Schizosaccharomyces pombe: one gene and its partner. The protein of the gene in region 2 interacts with the protein of the main gene of each other region in a biochemical or structural test. Each region holds a gene or a part of one and is shown on either strand. Other genes may lie near its edges.

Evidence for each region. Proteins that work in one complex are often made in the same cells at the same time.
Region 1: the proteins of rpc10 (region 2) and seb1 form a complex in vitro, tested with the Schizosaccharomyces pombe proteins (one study listed by BioGRID).

The regions. Positions count from the first base shown.
Region 1 is NC_003424.3:958,053-962,756, reverse strand, and holds seb1 (poly(A)site selection protein Seb1), read right to left. Parts: upstream 2,873-4,704; 5' UTR 2,697-2,872; coding exon 2,340-2,696; intron 2,150-2,339; coding exon 644-2,149; 3' UTR 530-643; downstream 1-529. Other genes in the region: two-component GAP Byr4, read left to right, coding at 1-320; sno1 (glutamine aminotransferase subunit), read left to right, coding at 4,407-4,704. UniProt on the Schizosaccharomyces pombe protein: Involved in the processing of pol II transcripts.
Region 2 is NC_003423.3:1,673,674-1,676,688, reverse strand, and holds rpc10 (DNA-directed RNA polymerase subunit Rpc10), read right to left. Parts: upstream 1,051-3,015; 5' UTR 955-1,050; coding exon 879-954; exon of another isoform or gene 826-878; coding exon 710-825; 3' UTR 501-709; downstream 1-500. Other genes in the region: ubiquitin hydrolase Ubp11, read left to right, coding at 1-165; pmt1 (DNA methyltransferase), read right to left, coding at 1,587-2,411, 2,456-2,623; ATP-dependent RNA helicase Cdc28, read right to left, coding at 2,940-3,015. UniProt on the Schizosaccharomyces pombe protein: DNA-dependent RNA polymerase catalyzes the transcription of DNA into RNA using the four ribonucleoside triphosphates as substrates.

The DNA of each region.
Region 1 (4,704 bases), on a different chromosome or scaffold from region 2:
CAAGGTTACGATGGATTGATAATTCGATTTCTGGTCAAGAAGCGGAAGATCCCTTTAGCGGGTTTGATGATCTTGAGGATACAGACTCCACCTCGCAGTACTTGAACGAAAATTCAGGTAGCTTTAATGGTAGCATAAACTCAATAATCAATTTTCCAGATATGAGTGAAATATACGATGTCGGCCCAGAGTTTGAAAAAAAGCAATTTAGCGAAGATATTCAATGGCGAAAGAGAATTGATGGCTGGTTTTTTTCATTTAAAAACGATGACAGGTCACGACTATGGGAGCTTTATAATATACTTAATGCCGAACAATAAACAAGGTTTTGTCTTTACCTTGCGAATGTTTATATATAATTATACGAATGCTTTTGTTTATCGCAGATTTGATCTTTTTGTACATAGCTTAATACACTTCGAAGATTTTTCATTTTGTTTGCAAATAGATGTATAAGATGTACAACAATGATACAAATGTAATACTAATGTGACACCCAGACAAACTAGATTGTTTGAACAAGACAATACAAAGAAAATAATCAATTAAATTTGGACCGAATACATTATACCCTTAAATACCGTCTGTAATATAGAAACCATTTTTGCCATCATTATAATACTTGTAAGCGTCTTTTAACACATTATTGGGGTTGCCAAGGAGGTTGTGAGACATACCCAGAAGAGTAATTAGGATCCATATATGGATAGCCGGGATTATATGGGTTGGTAGGGGGAGGAACGGTACTAGGATTACCATGCCAGTCATTTCCTGAATCAAAATGCCTTTCACCATGGTGAATGGGTGGACCTCCCCTATATGGTTTACGACCCCGGAATCGCTCATCACGACGCATAGCAAAATCTTTTCCTCTTTTACTAATTGCCTTAGAACTTATTCCTAATCCAATTTCAATATCAGGTTCATCCAAAGCGATACCAGGAGTAATCGGAAGGCCACCCGTGCCGCCATATTCTGCAGTTACAAGCCAGGTACGATCGGCATCCGTCAACAAACGGATTGGGATAACGCTGATTCCTGTGGAAAAGTCAGAGCACTCTCGAGGTCCAAATCCTACACCCCATTTAGTACGAATAGTAGTATCAGCAAAAGGGACATTTTCCATCGCTACTTGAGCTTTCTCTGCAGCATCACGACGAAACATTTTCAAGAACCCGTGTCTGTAATTATGATTTAAAATTAAACTTTGTACAGACCCAAATCGTTCAAACATAGATCGAAGAACAGGTTCTCGCACAGAACGAGTAATACCACCAAGGAAAAGAGTACGGCTGTATACCTTAATAGAATCAGGTGGAATGGTTGGGTCACGCTCAAATCGGCGAGGAAATCCATCAGGGGTAGGTTTTGGCACACCATCTGCAGGAGGCAAAGTAGAAGGAATGGATAAATGAGAAGGACTAGGGCTACGACGAGGGCGACCACTACGAGGACTAGGGCTACGAGAACGATGTAAGGAGCCGAGTCTTAAGGATTGGGAAGAGGTAGGAGCTGGCAAAGGAACACTGCCGACACCAGCCGGCTGGAATGGAGCGTTATAGTTGGGAAAAGCAGCTTTCATGATGCTATCGATTTGTGCAGGTGGTACATTCTGAGAAGCCAATACATTCATGAGAGTGATCTGTTGACTCTGGGTATCATTGACCGATCCTGTCTTCATCCCCATGGGACCAGAGGGAATAGACTGTGGTACATTTGAAGGTTGGAATAGAGGGTTTGATAATGGATTGCCTGACTGAGACTGTGCATTAATGGCGGTAGCTGGATGAACAGGTAGGTTAGGGACGACAGCAGAAACGGATGGTGCGACGGCAGGCTGCGGTGGAGTGCTAACTGATTCTTCGGCAGCACTAGGGACGGGCGCCTTTTGAGCGAAAGCAGCCAATGCCTCTAGAATAGAAGCAGCATCGTTTTCGACAGGACGAGAAGTGGGGGCGGCTGCTTGACTACCAACAGAACCACCATTCCCCTCGGGATTAGTAGACTGTGATGGAGCAGCAGCAGAATCTACACTAACCGGTTCCGTACTTGCCATTGCATCTTTCAGCTTTGAACGAAGCGATTCTAGCTTCTCGGGAGGAAATGTTGAAGCCTTCTCCCAAATATCACAAAGCTTTAATATTTTAGGCTACATGCTTAGTTAGTTACAAATTAGTCCAATAATGTTAAAAGACTTCTCAAAGAGAATGATACTGTATTACAAGGAAAAAATACCTCTCTCATACAGTGTCTCGCTGATACAGAAGCAGAGAGAGCATACGATTATCCATACGGGATCTTATCCGTAGTCAACCTTGAAAAACTTCAGCTACACATACCAAATGAGCAGATGGCGCATGCTGTATAGCATCTGCGACCAAACTATCAGTTATTTCAGCAGCTTTGCACCAGCCGCCACTAAAAGACGCATCAACGGGATTTTCAAAAGATTCATTATTCTTTTTAGCACCGTCCTGAAAGCTACGAACGATTGAGTCTAGAATATACAAAGCTCCTAATTTATGGGTGACGGGAGCACGCTTCGCATACTTATACACACTAGCAACAAATTGCGCATTCTCTGAAACATTTTCCATCGACAAGTTAGTCAATTTCAAAATTTTTGATCCCGAGATTCCTGTCTTGGAATGTTCAAGGGAATCTAAAATACCATCGAATTCAGCGATTCCCGACATATCACAAGAAAAACGACAATGAAAAAAAAAAAAAACTTTTCAAAACTAGAAAACTACCCTGTTTCCTTTATAAGAATTTTACTACTTTTTTTCTTATATTAGTTTTTTACACGTGCTTGAAAGACGTTAAAAAAGGAAGTCACCCTGTTCTTAAATACTTTTTGTGTTATGGTTACGGTTAAGTGGTGAAGTAGGTGATGCTGGTTATAAAGCTGGTATTACGGAAGGGTAAGGAAAGTGCTTAAAGAGATGCTAAAAATTTCCAAAGTTTCACACTTTGTAAAAAAAAATATATATCATATTGTTTTAAAAAATGTATGAAAATTTTTAGTGTAAAAAAAAATAATAATAATGAGTAGCGTTTTTGTTAATTTCATGCCCATGATCCTTCTGGTAACAAGTTTGTCAGCCTCGACCACAAAATTGGGACTGCGAAGTAATCTCAGGGTTCGGGTTTATTTATGAGATTTACTATATATACAGGTACTCGTGCATTTGGTTCGGTATTCTCTCTTTGCCTTTTGGCTTAGATCAAGTGTAGTATCTGTTCTTTTCAGTTTAATCGCTGAAATCACCTCACTGAGGTGTTTCCGATTAATCTTGTTTTTGGTTTGAGTTGGAAAGCCTCTGGCTTGCTATGCTTTCCGACACTGGTGTTCTTGCTATTGCACTACTGGCAAGCGACGCCGAATCTTCTTCTGTTGACAGATTTGTGACGCATGAATTTGACAACATTGGATGGTTTAGGATGTGAGGTTTGAAAATATTTAACTTCGTACATTGATAGTGTGTGGTGAAGATAATATTGTTATCGTTGAAAGTAAGCAGTTTATTTAAATTTTTTCAGTTGCTAAACCCACTGAAAGAGAGGTTGAAGACTTGCTGATGCTATGCGTATTGAACTTTTAACACAGTGGGAAAGGTAATTAAATAATTTTATCTTTAAAATTCAGTAAGTAGTTATTAGTGGTTGGGGGTTTTGAGAATAAAAGTGAGGTAAGTAGTTAATGCTGTAAGCAATTGTGAACTGTAGAGTTGTGTTGACATTAGCATTTTTTTTCATTAATGCTTGATGATATCCTAATTTGTGGATAATATAGAAAGCATTTGACTGTTTTATGGTAGTCTAGATAGTCAATTTTTAGTGAAATGACTGAAGTCAAAGCATGTGATATACTGTATCGCATTTGATTTTGTAAACTGAGTCTAGCAATGTGCAAGGTCTCCTTTGTTATGCTTATGAAGATGGGTGTACCAAATGATATTGCTTATTAAGGAGCGTAATCATTTGCGATATGATTCAAGGTTGCTCCACCAATTCTATCTTTATTGCCATCTTTGATTCTGGCGATAATTTTTCGCTTCCACATTGCCAGACTTATATAATGACCCCCGGTATGTCTGATTGGGTTATTATCCTATAGCCACCACCGCCTTAATGAACTGAGACACATTGTATACTACTTAAAGTGGATCTCTTAGTTACGTTTGATTTAATTTTTTTAAGGTATAAACATAGACAACACAATCCTTTAATACCCATCTTCAACGGTTTGAGTGATTCATTGCTGATTAGTAAGGGGTGTATCAATCTTCATCAGCATCTACTTGTTCAATAGGTTTCAGGATATCTTTCGTTTGTTTTTCTTAGTTCTTTCAAACTTTCTTTGTTTTTTTATTCGTTTCTAGTCGATTAAAAACTTTAAAAAAATGTCTTCTGCATCCATGTTCGGGAGTCTTAAAACCAATGCTGTGGACGAATCCCAGTTGAAGGCTAGAATTGGAGTTTTAGCTCTCCAAGGAGCATTTATTGAACACATTAATATAATGAATTCCATTGATGGAGTAATTTCTTTTCCTGTTAAAACTGCTAAGGATTGCGAAAATATTGATGGCTTAATTATCCCAGGAGGTGAGTCTACTACCATTGGCAAATTAATCAACATTGATGAGAAGCTTCGTGATCGTTTGGAGCACTTGGTTGATCAAGGACTTCCTATTTGGGGAA
Region 2 (3,015 bases):
AGTGTTACTTATGGTCATTATCTTTGCTATAGACTTCAAGATGACATTTGGTGGAAGGCTAATGATTCTTTAATTACTAAATCATCTCTCAATGAAGCTCTCAGTCAAACTCGTTCAGCTTGTCTTTTGTTTTACGAAATGGAATCTCCTCTTGCGCTTGATTAGCGCATATATGCTAGTTAATCGTATACGTTTTTGTACCTTAATAAAAAATTCTTGATATTTCTCCTAATGATTCCGACTGATGTCACCCTTTATAAACTGTTGAAAGCTTCAAATTATAACCTGTTGTTTTGTAGCTAAAGCATTCAATACTAATATTTTGCAAAACTTGTGTATGAAAATATATGTATGTATGTATCCACCGTATCTGTCCATAAAATCGGTTTTCTTGACTTTAAGATTTTCAAGTGGACGATTTTTTATAGGCATGGTTAAAGTACACATGGCACTTTCAAACCGTCGCCAAATGACTTATAATTTACTAAAAAAAATTTTAGATATACTCATCATGTACAATTCACAGTTTTTAATGCATCAAATATCCAAAATGTTATTATTGTCATGGGTTATCCATTTAACCCCAGGACCTTCTAATTTCTCGAATTAAGCATAAGGACCTGCATATTACACCATTTTTAAGCCATTTCTCAAATTTTAAAAGTTATAATTCCGTTTTTCTCTTTTCATAGTCTGAAAACTCTAAAACTTAGCGTGCTTCGAACTGAACCATTCTCTTGGTTCTCATTTTGTACATAACACGATGCCCACACTCTCGACAACGAATAACTTCTTTCGCTTGGATTGTATTACGCGCTCCGCAATCTGATGGTCAGTCTTTTATCATATACTCATTTAATTCTACTCAATGATCATACCCGCACATAAATAAATCATAGTGGCTGGTCTGGGGGGATTGAAAGCGGTACCGCCAGTGGAGGTTGGATGATTCATTTTGTAAACTTTTTTAGTGTATTTGAGTCTAGTTAAATCCTGTGATTTTACTTCCTCACTTGAACTTTCTAATTGTGGTGGTGAGTAGTAGCGCGCAAATTTTTACTACCATACTATTCTCAATATTAACGCTTCAAAAAAAATTGGGAAGCTAATCTTATAATACATTAATGAGTTAAAAGTTCTCATTTAAAGTACTTCAAGTACATTTCCATTTATTGGATATATAAACTTCAAATATAATTTCGTATCTAATTTTGACGTTCTTTTAAATTTAACCTTTATTAAATCTAGCAAAAGAATAAAGGGCTGGATACATAATTTTAAATTTAAATCGATAAATAACTAGATTGTTTAATTTATATTTCATAACAATTATGTGTACGTGTGAGGATAAATACAATAGCTCAAAAATAATGTATTCCCCGAGTTCTCCAATTTTTAGTGTATAAATATACGATTTCTTTGTCTTGAAATTAGTCCTGGTAATTAGTTATATAAAGCATTCAGAAACACTGTATGCATTAAAGGGTAATTCCAATTGAAATAAGTGCCTTTTTTTGCAGAACTTTTATCGAGTAATATTAATTTTCCTTTCATTTTAAAAAAATAGTTTTGACTTCTAACCGCTTTTAGAAATTTAGAGGTTCCAGTAATAGAGAAATCAAGTATGAAACAACTTTAACGTTTATACTATTTCCTAATAAGCGATACATACATTTTTCGGTTACATTAGACTTTGACCATTCGAGGCTTTCCGGGAATCCCATTAACCTGGCGACTTCTCTGGCGGTAAAATACCGAAGTTGTAAAGCCATCCGGTTCCTCTCAAATTGCTCGTGCGTATTTTCATGATCTGACATCTGCAAAATTGAGCCTGCACCTTGTACTAAATGTGTATATCCCCGTGTAAAGCAACAGCAGGAAGAGCTATCTGGCTTAACTATATCAAACTGATGGCCCCATTTATTTAACACAGACTCTAGTACCATATATGAAGACCAATCTCTTTCTATCTCCAAATAATCTCTTATTCTTTTTACTTCGCCTTCTTTTTGCGCTACCTCGCTAAATTGAAAAACATCATCAATACTCCATTCTCCTTTGAAATTGAGCCTAGCCAATCCATACCATCTACTGCGAGAATTAGGAATGTTGAACTGGTTTGGACTCAAAATACCTTCAATTAGGTTGTAACCACAATTCCTCAAAACTTTCCTGCACTCTTCAGCTGCCTTGCTCTCCTCAAAACCCTGAACATTCTCAATTAGAATGTACTCAGGCAAATTATTTACATGAGGAAGCACATTTAAAATATTTAGAAATGCTTGGGAACGAGGATCAAGAATATCTTTACGGTTTCCTATTCTAGTAAAAGGTTGACAACTGGGACTCATAGTCCATAATTTACAGTCAAATGCATCAAAATCCTTGGCCGTTAAAGTTGAAATATCCATCTATAAGTATTAATATAGTTATCGAGTAAATCCTTGAAACATACGTGTTTAGCAAGTTTTCCATGATTGAGGTTATAAATTTCATTTGCCTGTGGGTTGATATCTATTGCACACACAATATCAGCCGGTATATTTGCCAGGTTCAATGCATAGTGCATACCTCCAATACCAGAATATAGCTCCAGGACCCGTAATCTTTTTGTACTAAGCATTGAATGTAACCGAGCATGCAACACTCGGTAATCGTTTAGTGAGGGTTACAAAAGACCTACCTGCATTAGATTTTTTGCTTGGATTTGTTAAGCTTGAAAAGTCATGAGCATTTCGGGCCTTTTCAAAAACGATAAAATGTTTTTTAGTATTAAAAGTAATTAATATACAACATGATGACTTAAACAAAACTGTACGTCTTTTTGAAGCTAACTAAATGAGATCTTTTAAAAGTTTGTCCATTATTGTGAAACATAAATTCATTATGATTATATACAACCAAATCGCCTTTAAAACTAATTTTCCTTTTCCACTCTTTTACCGCTTATGTCGTTTTTGCGTCTTTTGCAATTCTTCTATATTTTCTGGCTTGAAATAATGGGGGCTTATTTCC